Xenopus tropicalis: one gene and its partners. The protein of the gene in region 2 purifies or fractionates together with the protein of the main gene of each other region. This does not show direct contact. Links are inferred from orthologs where the notes say so. Each region holds a gene or a part of one and is shown on either strand. Other genes may lie near its edges.

Region 1 (3,753 bases), on a different chromosome or scaffold from region 2:
TCACCAACAAATGGTCATCTTTGATGTATACTGTAGAACAATAAATCATCAACATGAAGACTGCGGTCTTGGAAATATGATAGTTCACAGGAGAGACTGGGAGATGGACCAGTCAAATTGTTCTATCATTATCAGATTGTTAGATTATACCCAAACAGTCAAACTAACAACAATTTTCAGACCTTCCCTTTAAATCAAATAACTAATATCTGTGGTAAGAGGATGTCTTATCTGATCATTCTTTGGACACAAAAGCCCAGAAAGTCATAAAAAAAAACCTTTTATCCAAAAACATTGGAAGGCTAACGGCTCTGGCACACGGGGAGATTAGTCACCCGCGACAAATCTCCCTGTTCGCGGGCGACTAATCTCCCAGAAATGCCATCCCACCGGCAAAAATGTAAAAAAAATGTGAGTTTCCTCTCAAGGCAACTTCCGCGATTTCAGTGAAAGCGCGCCGCCGCTTATGCCATCCCACCGGCGATTTACATTTTCAGGGAGATTTGTTGCGGGCGACTAATCTCCCCGTGTGCCAGAGCCCTAAGGGTGAAGACACACAAGGCGATTAGTCGGCATAAGTCTTTAAAAAGTCGCTGCGATTTCTCTACGCAGCGAAAACCTGTGTGCTATTAGTCGCAGCAACATATACAGGATCCTTTGAAGGGAAAGTCGCTGCGACCATTCGCCCTAATGGCACATGGAATGTTTTTTTTCCCCATTGCTGTAGATACACCAGCAGAGAAAAGCTGATCTGCTGCCTTCTGCCCCCTCTGTGTGCACTTCTAGGCAAGGGATATACCTGTTCACTCACAGAGAGCAAATACAAATACCTATTATTGCATTTCCACGCTGAATTATGTGTGGACAGCTTTCAATGCACTTGCAACTAGTCACAGAATATGACTGCACTCTTGGAAAGAAAAAAAAAATTATAACTTCGAAAGATATCAATTCTTTCTCATAAGACTGATGCAAACAAAACCATATTTCTTAGTAGTCTGGGAGATTTAAATGTAATCAGTTTTGAGACCTAACTTTATTCATAGATGTTCAGACACTGTACGTGTTACACCTTTTTTCCTCAAAGGCTAATTTGCTTAGGTAATATTTTCAGTAGCTCTTTTACTTAACAGGGAAAACAATGAAACTGAAAGTGATTTCATTTTGCAACCTGGTTCTTTAGAGTAACCGTGGAATAGGGTCACATTATAGCATAACACATTACGAGAGCAATTGTAAACCCCAGGTGATGAAGCAGTAAACACAGACCAATAAAAAAAAAAAAATCTCACTAGTAAAAGCAAGGCCATGCTAGGAGATCTTTTGCTCATTGAAATATTTTCATGAGTACCCAGGGCCCTCTACCCTCAGACTAACTTTCAGGCATTTTCTGTGAAACCATGTGACAGAGTGGTACATTTTTATACTATTTTCTTAAGTCTGAATCATGTTTACAGCCCAAAGAATTCTCTCCTCAGTTACTTTTACAATATGCACAGCTGCTCCCAAATACCATTTGTTTGTTCCACCCTGAGAAAGGTGCAAGTGGTGAAATCTTAGCTTTGCATTAAATTCAACTTTTTGAATAATACATGGGCATGATATTTCCAGGAACACTTTAGGGCTCATTTACGTCCACGAGTGCAATAGTGGTCCCCAGTTTCCCCCCAACCAGCTGCACCTAGCACCACTTTTATGTTCTCCTTCCTACCTTCCGTTCCAAATTGAGAGCTGCTGCACCAGGGGAAGCCTGGAGCTGCCACACACTTGCTGCACCTAAAGAATCAGGTACAGACCAAACAGTAGAACTGACGCCAGCTGGATTTTGGCGCAATTGCATCCAATTTTGGGTACACAGTTGCAAATCAGATACAACTGCAATAGACAGAGCAATTGTGCCAGGCGTATCACTCCACTGAGAACCACAATGACTCAAATTCTGGGGGAAAAAGCAACATTTTTTCAAAAACCTGCAGCAATTACGCTCAAAACTGCACTTTTCTCACTACATTTGCAGAGGTACATGTGCCTTTCTGTCACAGCATCTTCCTGCAGAACAGGAATATAATGTGTGATTCTAAATGAAATGCTCAACTTTCAGGATGACGGAGATTTAATTAAATATTTTTGATAACTATAGGTTATATTAACATGACAGCAACCACGAAGAACTATAATATATATTTTTGGTGAACAGTAAAACTAAGACAAGTCAGCAGTTTAGAATAGTTCGCAAAACTGATGTGAGATTCCTTTTGGAATGGGCTTTTTAATCAGGTAAGAACTGTCTTGTCTTCCTGTCACAGGTTCCCCAGACATACCCCGGTCACTAAGTAAGCATAAAAGCTGGCACACAGTTACATTACAAGGGTAATTCGAGGATAACTGAGTACTAATCAAACACAAATGTTAATGCAATATAGTTATACATAACAACCACTTTTACTCATACCTCTGAATCCTTGCGCTGTGTACGGTTGTACTCTCGTCCCTTGCCCGGTTGGGGGCTGCCAATTACCGCACCACCGATTCCTGTTCTCATTTTGTTGTTGACAATCAGAGAACCGGAAGCCTCCATCTTTCTCAGGCGACGCCCACGTGACGTGACACCGCCGTCTCAGTAGAACATTTGCGGTGGAACGCAAAGCCCAAGGCGTGTCTGTTTCTGCTTTCCAAACATCGCGATAGTATGAAGAGTCTCGCCCTTTCTTTGACAAACTGGGCGGCTTATAGAGACTGATGTATCGGCACCAGTGTGATAATCAGTGTTTTGTATATTCCTGTCTACATAACATGTATTTTATTGCTGAGACCTGCATTTATCTATATATCTAACCATGTATTCTCTGCAGTTACAGCGATGTTTGAAAGCCGGCTACCCTTAAAGGAAACGTTAACTCTAAATACATTCATGTAAAATTGGGCTTCTTGCCACTTTTATTAGGTATTCATAGATTTTAAGCTGGTAAACGTTTTTACACAGCTAATGCGTCTAAATTGAAATAATAGCACCATCTGCTGGTCAGTTCTATCAACCAAACTACAGTCAGAAAATTTCAGTAGAAGAAACTCTTGTAACGTTGTCAGAGTGCTTATACAATTGAGCAAAAGGAAGTGTCCAGATCTAGGGTATGAGCGCTGCAAATTGTGCACCTGATGTTTCTAAAAAGTAAAATTGTAAAATGAGGCAACACACATTAGCTATCCATAGATAAGTGAAATGCACAATTTACATTTTTAAGTTATCTAAATGGCCCCTGATAATGGGCAATCATTATTGGAGTACACGTACATCAGCAGTCAGGTGTCCTGAGATGAAAAGGCATGATTCCAGGTTCTTAAAAGGGATGGGGCTTGTGGATGAGTGGGCAAGGTTTTGTTGGAGTTTTGTCTTAAATTAAGCTTAGAGACAGGTTAGAACACACTGTATAGGAGGGGCAATTTTTGTTTCGTTGAGGCCCTATTTTACTTGAGACAGGGCTTACCATTCAGGGGGCCTAGGTGTCCATCAGACTATTAATTGGGACCCCCTGGTGAAGGTGGAGATCCCTGCTAATTTAGTAGGATGGGGCCATAGAACATACACCCTAGTTTGTAATTACAGTGATGAGAAAAAGTATTTGCTGCTCCATTGTTTTACCTGGTACTGCATATTTGCAAAGCGAGTTGTTTCCGAGTTTAAATGTAATATTACACAAGGGAAACTGAGCAAACACAAAGAACAGATTATATATATATATATATATATATATA
Region 2 (3,653 bases):
GAAACATAGATTTATCAGCAGGATCCCTGTGTTTTGAAAGGATCGGTTCACCCTGTTATGCTGATATGGCGTAAAAAAAAAAATGGCAACTGTATCAGTGTTAGAATCTGAAACTGGTGGTTCACCGTTAAGTTAACTTTTAGTGTGTTATAGAACAAATCTAAGCAACTTCAATTGGTCTTCGTTTTTGTCATAGTTTTTAAATTATTTGCCTTTCTCTTTTAACTCTTCCCAGCTTCCAAAATGGGGGTCACTCACCCCGGCAGCCAAAAACACTGTTAATCTCTAAGGCTCCAGTTTTATTGTTTTTGTTACTTTTTACTCCTTATCGTTCTGTTCAGCCCCTCTCCTATTCATATTCCAGTCTCTCATTCAAACCATTCCCTGGTTACTAAGGTAATTTGGACCCTAGCAACTAGATCGCTGCTGAAATAGCAGACTGGCTAGCTGCTGAACTTAAAATTAAAACTGAAGACCAAATGCAGATTGTTTTAAAATATAATTTTCTGCAGTGCACTAAATGGGGCTGCTAATTATTTCAGTGGGGACTGTGGGCAGCAGTCCGGCTTGTCTCTGTATATCAAGCAAATATTCTTCTTACAAAAAACCATTACCATTATATACATGGTGAATAGCTTTAGTATCCTATGTTGTATACAAAGTATATATTACTGTAGTAGGTTTTAAAAGTATTAAATGCGGTCTGTTATTCATAATCTTGGTAGAAAAGCTGAAACTTATTATTAATTACTGTTGCAGAGTCAGACGGATGATGGAATAAGAAAGGAAATGATCGCTTTGCAAGAAGACAAACACAACTACGAGACAACGGCCAAAGAGTCCCTGAGGCGGGTCCTTCAGGAGAAGATAGAGGTGGTGCGGAAGCTGTCAGAAGTAGAGGTAAAGGCTTGTTTGGTGATGAAGATGTGAGATTTGTGGGTTTCTGTAATGAGGATCATGCCTTAGGGCTAATTAAATCATTTGAAGGAGAACTAAACCCTAAAAAAAACTTAATTCACCAGCCTAAAGTTTCAGCATCTATATAGCAGTAATGATCCAAGGCTTCCCAGGAGCTCCCCATCTTGGATTTTGTTAGGAGTGTCAGTGACACTTGAACATGCTCAGTGTGCCCCGGGCAGAGTTTGGGAAGCAAAGCTTAGGGGTTGTAGCAAAGAATCAAACAGAAAATTAGGTTGGCCTGTAATATAATGCTACATGGCTTATTATTAAATTCTTATTGCTGTACTGATTTCAGTGCTGCCGTGTATTCATTTCTAATCAGCATTATATTGTGGCATTTATATTCTATAGATACAGTATATTGTGAGTTAGTCGCTAAGGGCAGCACAGAGCATGTTCTCGGAATCAGCAGAAAAGTAGATGGGGGGCTACTGGGGGCATCTTCAGGAGCACAGATCCTCCCTGCTAAAGGGCTGTTGTTGCCTTGGGTTAGTACAAAACCCCAGAACATAATATGCAACATTTTAAGCCTACTTCTTACTTGTCCTTTAAAAAATGTTATTGACACCAGCATTGATTTAGTTATAAGGCAAAGTCTTATTACCCCATACAAGCTATCATGGGGGAAATAGTAAGCCTATAGTATACACACTCTCCTGTGTGCCCCTCTTATTACAGGGGCTCTTCTGCATTCACCAAACTAGAATGGGTGCCAGAAATACAGTTTATGGAAGTGTGCATTTAGTCTGACATTGTCTTGCTTATGGCTCTGAGCCACAATTCTGTACTCACATGTGCCTTTGTGTTTCTTTTAATCCCAGCGGAGTCTGAGTAACACAGAGGATGAATGTACCCACCTGAAGGAGATGAATGAACGCACTCAAGAAGAATTGCGGGAATTGGCCAACAAGTACAATGGAGCCGTGAATGAGATTAAAGATCTTGCAGACAAATTGAAGGTCAGTTCCTGGTACCTGGCACAGTTGTGTTGTGGCACAGACGCCTGTTCTTTCTACCGGGCAGGGTTGGTTGTTGGCACAAAGGACAGTTCCTACTGCTTGGTGTCATTGTTGGATGCAAAGCCCGTGTGGCATGGATTTATAGAATCAAGGCCAGCCCACTTGTCCCAAGTGTATTATGGTTGGTTTCTTCGTGTGCGTTCTTTTGGATTCTTATGACAAATGTTTTGGCACGAGATTGCATCTACATGAAATTAAAAATAAAATAGCAATTGCTTTACTATGTAGGGCAGCTTATAGTCTGTCTATCTATTCATATTCTAGAGGGAGTGTTGTCTGGTTTTGTGTTGCCTTGGTGTAAAAATTAATTGGCTTGGTCGATTGGCATTAAATTAATTGTCTTCATTCACTCATTAAGGTGAAAATTGGTCTTATGGAAATGGAACACAGGGCAGTTTGGAGCATTTGGTCTCCCCAGTGCTTTGTAGCTGGCAGGGGAAAACCCAATCCCTTTCTGTACCACTTGCCATTTAAATGAATGGAAACTCACAGTTGTGTAAAAATCCATGGCAATGACAAACAGCACAGACGGGTACAGGGCAATGCTGCTTAAAGCGGCACTACTTCCAGTAACAAAGCCACGTGGCATACGTATAAAGTTACCATTTAATTGCACCTTTTGTAGGCGGCAGAAAGTCGGCAAGAGGAAATCCAGCAGAAAGCTCTCGCAGAGAAAAAAGAACTGCAGAATAAAATTGATGAAATGGAAGAGAAGGAACAGGAGCTACAAGCTAAAATCGAGGCCTTGCAAGCAGACAACGACTTCACGAATGAACGACTTACCGCCTTACAAGGTGAGTTCCCCGTGTTCTTTGTAGTGTCCTGCCCCCTTTGCTTAGCACGGCTTTTTTATTTTTGGAATTCTGCTTGCAGTACGATTAGAGCATCTTCAAGAGAAAACACTTAAGGAACACAACAGCTTAGGTAAGTGTTGGAGTTAGTTAGAGGCAGTAGCTGACGCCAGGGGAAGGCCTACACCTCCGACGAGTTGTATGATTGTGTGCCCAGTCCGTCCTGACATCTCTGTCTGCTGAACGTGCCAAGTCAATATTCCCAGTTTCTGCCCCGTTCTGGGGCCCAAAGAAAAATACATATTATCATATACAGCATGGGTTTCAATTGCCGCCCCTAGCGGAGGGAGGGGGAGTCAGAATACAGACTAGATTTACATTAGCTCTAAACATAGCAGTTTGTGTTGAATTTACTGCAGATATATCAGTACCTTACATGACCCAGGTGCCACCAGAACCCGGTTGCCCATTTAAAAAGCAATAAACGTGATGCATATAAAGTTGGAAATTTAAAAATATATACCGTATGTTTGCATTATAAATAAAACTGGTTTGGCAACTATGGGATCCTGTGTTTAGAGCTGGAGTATTTCAGATTTAACCATGCTCTTAATGACAAGCAATGCCCAGTTGTTAGGGGTGCGCCAAATCCACCATTTTACCATCAAGCCAAATCCTTTGTGAACGAGAGAACGGAATCCTCATTTACATATGCAAATTAGGAGAAGGAGGAGCTAATGAAGACCACGGGCCTTTCTCATGGTGAAAGATGTTTGTGACAAAAAAATCACGGATTTAAGGAATTGGTTCTCCCAGAGGCATGGAGTCGCCTTAATCTGAATCCTGCTGAAAAAGATCCTGAACCGAAACCTGTGCATCCCTA
Region 3 (3,753 bases), on a different chromosome or scaffold from region 2:
AAAGAATGAGTAAATTAAAGAGTCCTGCAATGTAGTCATGCTGTTTATGGGAATGCATGTTTCTAGATTGGAAACGTTCCATGACAGCCCTATAACCCCATATTAAGGTGAAGCTCTGGTCAGCATTCTGCAGTTGTTCCAGTGCCTGTTCTCAGTAAACCCAGTCAAAAGTGCATGTATTTTGGACATGCTTACATGGACATGGTTGATTACCATTTGAGCCCCCTGAACTACTGTGAGCCGGGAACAGTTCTCTCTTGGTGGGGCGGGGAGACTAAGAGCTATATACAATGCTAATAAAAGCATTGTCTGACCAGTTAAAATTCTACCATAACAAACATTTAGGCTGACAAAGATGCCACCAGAAGTACGGCTGGTAAAGTGCCACACCCTAAGGGGATGGTAAAAATCAAAGTGGCAAATTACAATGGACAAGAATACACCCAAAATGCTTGTGAATGAATCACACTGTAGATAATCTGCCAAAATTGTAAATGAGCTGTAATCAGTGAGGTACAAGTTGCACTGCAGCACAAAGGCCAGGGACCTGTAAAACTAGTTGGTTTCAATGACCAGTTTTTCTACTGCAGTAATGAGTGCGAGTAATGTACAAGGTATCTCTTCCTATGTGGGACAGAGGTGCAGAAAAGCGTCCCCACCCTAGAAGTTAATCAGTTGGCTGCATGATGTCTTCAAATTGATTTTTATGGCCCTAAGTCACAAGAGCAACACAGACCCCTTTGTAAAAGAACAACATTTTACAATTTGATCTGGACCTTAGTATGTAACTGCACTGCTACCCATCAATATGGGACAGTCGTTTTACAAAGCTGCTTGAGTTTATTTCAAGGCAAATGGTGACAAACAGCAGAAAAGGGTTATGGGAAAACATAATGCAGAAAGCACCTCTAAATAGATGCCAATATGTATTTCTTATCCTGTTAGGCACTAATAAGAGCTTATCTCATGCAGGGCTTTATAAAGCAACTTAATCTAAGAAGTCCAAGGCCTTTAACCTAAGGATTATGTTACAGGCAGATAGAATCTAAACTACTTTTCGGAGACTCTTATTCCTTATTATTATTATTAATATTATTTATACACTACATTTATTTTATTTAACCTGTCAATTTTAAATTGAGATTTAGTAACCCTTTCAAACTAGAAAACTGATATTGAGCACATGGTCACTGTCAAAGTAGTGGTTTAACTGGCAAGTTGGGGAGCTATAGAAACAAAAATTCAATTTAAGAATAAAAATTAAACTTAATTGCGGCCTCTCACATACTTAGTCACTGTTCCCCATTCCCCTTAGCCACACCAGCACTTTACTTACAGAAATGTCAAACAGTGGCACAGGCCTAAAAAGTTTCCATTGTTAATAAACAAAAAGCATGTTTATGTCACAGTTTTATGTTTATGTCAGTTGCTTTACTCAGTGTGTAAAGAATTATTGGATCTGGATTCTTTACTCAACACAGCTGTAGTAGATGGGAAAGCAATGTAGGTGTGTAACAGAAAGTCACAGTGTAAGGGACACCCAGCACCATTACACATGTCACTATGAGCAATTACATATAAATGAACCAGATGTATAAATGGATTTAGCCACTAAAATGGGCTGATCTGATTAATCTGATTAAAACTCCCACAATAAATGCCAGCTGAAGATCATTTTGGGGGGGGCAGCAAGGTGAACTCGTATTTGCTCCCACAGATGTGCTAGGACTGTGGCCAATAACAGTAATGTTTCCCGTATGATGAGTTAAAGGTTTCCGGGCAAACCATGCACCTCAATATGCAGACTCAATGGAATAAGGTCCCAAATGCCTTGATTTCTAGCCTGATCTGTAGCCTGGAGCATCAATACCTGCACTCAGATGTCCAACCTGCGGCCCCCCAGCAGCTGTACTAACTACTCACACTATCCAGCCTCCATTCCCCAGCATTCTATGCAAGCCAAGTTTCTGGGAGTTGTAGTTCAACTGCTGAAGGGCCGCAGACAGACTAATATATACCAGAAGGGGTCGAAAGCCAAGCTAAAGGCGAAGGTAGGACGCGGCAGAGCTCACCTGTATCCCAGGCAGGCCGGGCTGCACCGGGGAGTGACTCATACTGATGTGCCGGCAGCACAACCCCGGCCCTTACATCCACTGCGATACCGAGGAGTGTTCCCCGGTCCCCCGGGCTTCCCTCTGCCTACGAGTCCGGGCCCAGGAGGAGGAGGAGCAGCCGGGGGCAGAGCTGGGGAGCAGGAAGAGATTGGCTTTATTATTGTGCTGGAGAGGAGGATTTCCGGCGGCGGCTGAGGCCAATGATCACACGAAATGGGGAGAAGCAAGTTTGAGGCTGCAGTAGATACAAGGCGATGTCACCACGGTTTCCTCTCTCGTACAGAAAACTAGAGCAGGAAACAAGAAGAGCAATAACCACCCATCTACCCTCCTCCTCCTCCTCCTGTCTCTTCCCCTCACACAGCTCCTCCTGCGCCCTCACTCTCGCCAGGGCAATGGCATGTCACTTTAATCGGACTCATCTGCTTCTCTCCCTTGGGAGCTTTCCCCCTGCCCCTGGGTGAGACACAGCTGCCACCCCTGGGTGCCTGTATAGCAGGAGGCGCTACTGCACTTAGGGTGCGTTTAGTTCATGCCTATCTAGTGTGGGAGAGTAATCAGGCACAATATACCCCTGTATTAGTACTGACAAGGCTACAGGTATCAGAAGGGGAAAACCAGCAAGTGCAGCACAAACTTGCCTCCACTTTACCGTTCCCCACAAACGACTGCTTTCTAAGCTAAGGTCTATTGGTCTTAGTAATGTTGTTTGTACATTGATAGAAAACTGGCTACAGGATCGGGTACAGAGGGTGGTTGTTAATGGTACATTCTCTACTTGGAGTAAGGTTCTCAGTGGGGTCCCTCAGGGTTCTGTACTGGGTCCACTTTTGTTTAATTTGTTCATAAATGACTTAGGGGAGGGTATTATGAGTAATGTATCAGTGTTTGCAGATGACACAAAACTCTGCAGACCAGTCAATTCTATCCAGGATGTGACATCCCTGCAGCAGGATCTTGACCAACTGGCAATCTGGGCAGCTAAGTGGCAGATGAGATTTAATGTGGATAAATGTAAGGTCATGCACCTGGGATGTAAAAATATGCAAGCCCTGTATACCCTTAATGGGACTGCACTAGGCAAATCCATAATGGGAAGGGCCTTGGAGTCCTTGTAGATAATAAACTTGGCTGTAGCAAGCAATGCCAGGCAGCAGCTGCAAGGGCAAACAAGGTTTTGAGCTGTATTAAAAGGGGTATAGATTCACGGGAGGAGGGGGTTATTCTTCCCCTTTACAGAGCGCTGGTAAGGCCCCATCTAGAATATGCTGTTCAGTTTTGGTCTCCAGTGCTCAAACGGGACATTGTTGAGTTAGAGAGGGTCCAGAGAAGGGCAACTAAGCTGGTAAAGGGTATGGAAAGTCTCAGTTATGAAGAAAGACTGGCCAAGTTGGGTCTGTTTACACTGGAGAAGAGGCGCTTAAGAGGTGACATGATAACTATGTATAAATATATAAGGGGATCATATAATAACCTTTCTAATGCTTTATTTACCAGTAGGTCCTTCCAACGGACACAAGGGCACCCACTCCGTTTAGAAGAAGGGAGGTTCCATTTAAATATTTGGAAAGGATTTTTTACTGTGAGAGCTGTGAAGTTCTGGAATTCCCTCCCCGAATCAGTTGTACTGGCTGATACA

The links. The genes of interacting proteins can lie anywhere in the genome.
Region 1: the proteins of slmap (region 2) and strip1 purify together in Homo sapiens (affinity purification with mass spectrometry; 4 studies listed by BioGRID and IntAct, with this or other methods). This does not show direct contact. The link is inferred for Xenopus tropicalis from reciprocal best matches to the Homo sapiens genes SLMAP and STRIP1.
Region 3: the proteins of slmap (region 2) and stk24 purify together in Homo sapiens (affinity purification with mass spectrometry; 6 studies listed by BioGRID and IntAct, with this or other methods). This does not show direct contact. The link is inferred for Xenopus tropicalis from reciprocal best matches to the Homo sapiens genes SLMAP and STK24.

Annotation. Positions count from the first base shown.
Region 1 is NC_030678.2:72,085,091-72,088,843, reverse strand, and holds the start of strip1 (striatin-interacting protein 1), read right to left. Parts: upstream 2,586-3,753; 5' UTR 2,579-2,585; coding exon 2,453-2,578; intron 1-2,452. UniProt on the Homo sapiens protein: Plays a role in the regulation of cell morphology and cytoskeletal organization. Required in the cortical actin filament dynamics and cell shape. Part of the striatin-interacting phosphatase and kinase (STRIPAK) complexes.
Region 2 is NC_030680.2:148,148,611-148,152,263, forward strand, and holds part of slmap (sarcolemmal membrane-associated protein), read left to right. Parts: intron 1-759; coding exon 760-900; intron 901-1,781; coding exon 1,782-1,919; intron 1,920-2,604; coding exon 2,605-2,773; intron 2,774-2,852; coding exon 2,853-2,903; intron 2,904-3,653. UniProt on the Homo sapiens protein: Associates with the striatin-interacting phosphatase and kinase (STRIPAK) core complex, forming the extended (SIKE1:SLMAP)STRIPAK complex.
Region 3 is NC_030678.2:121,371,315-121,375,067, reverse strand, and holds the start of stk24 (serine/threonine-protein kinase 24), read right to left. Parts: upstream 2,241-3,753; 5' UTR 2,115-2,240; coding exon 2,073-2,114; intron 1-2,072. UniProt on the Homo sapiens protein: Serine/threonine-protein kinase that acts on both serine and threonine residues and promotes apoptosis in response to stress stimuli and caspase activation.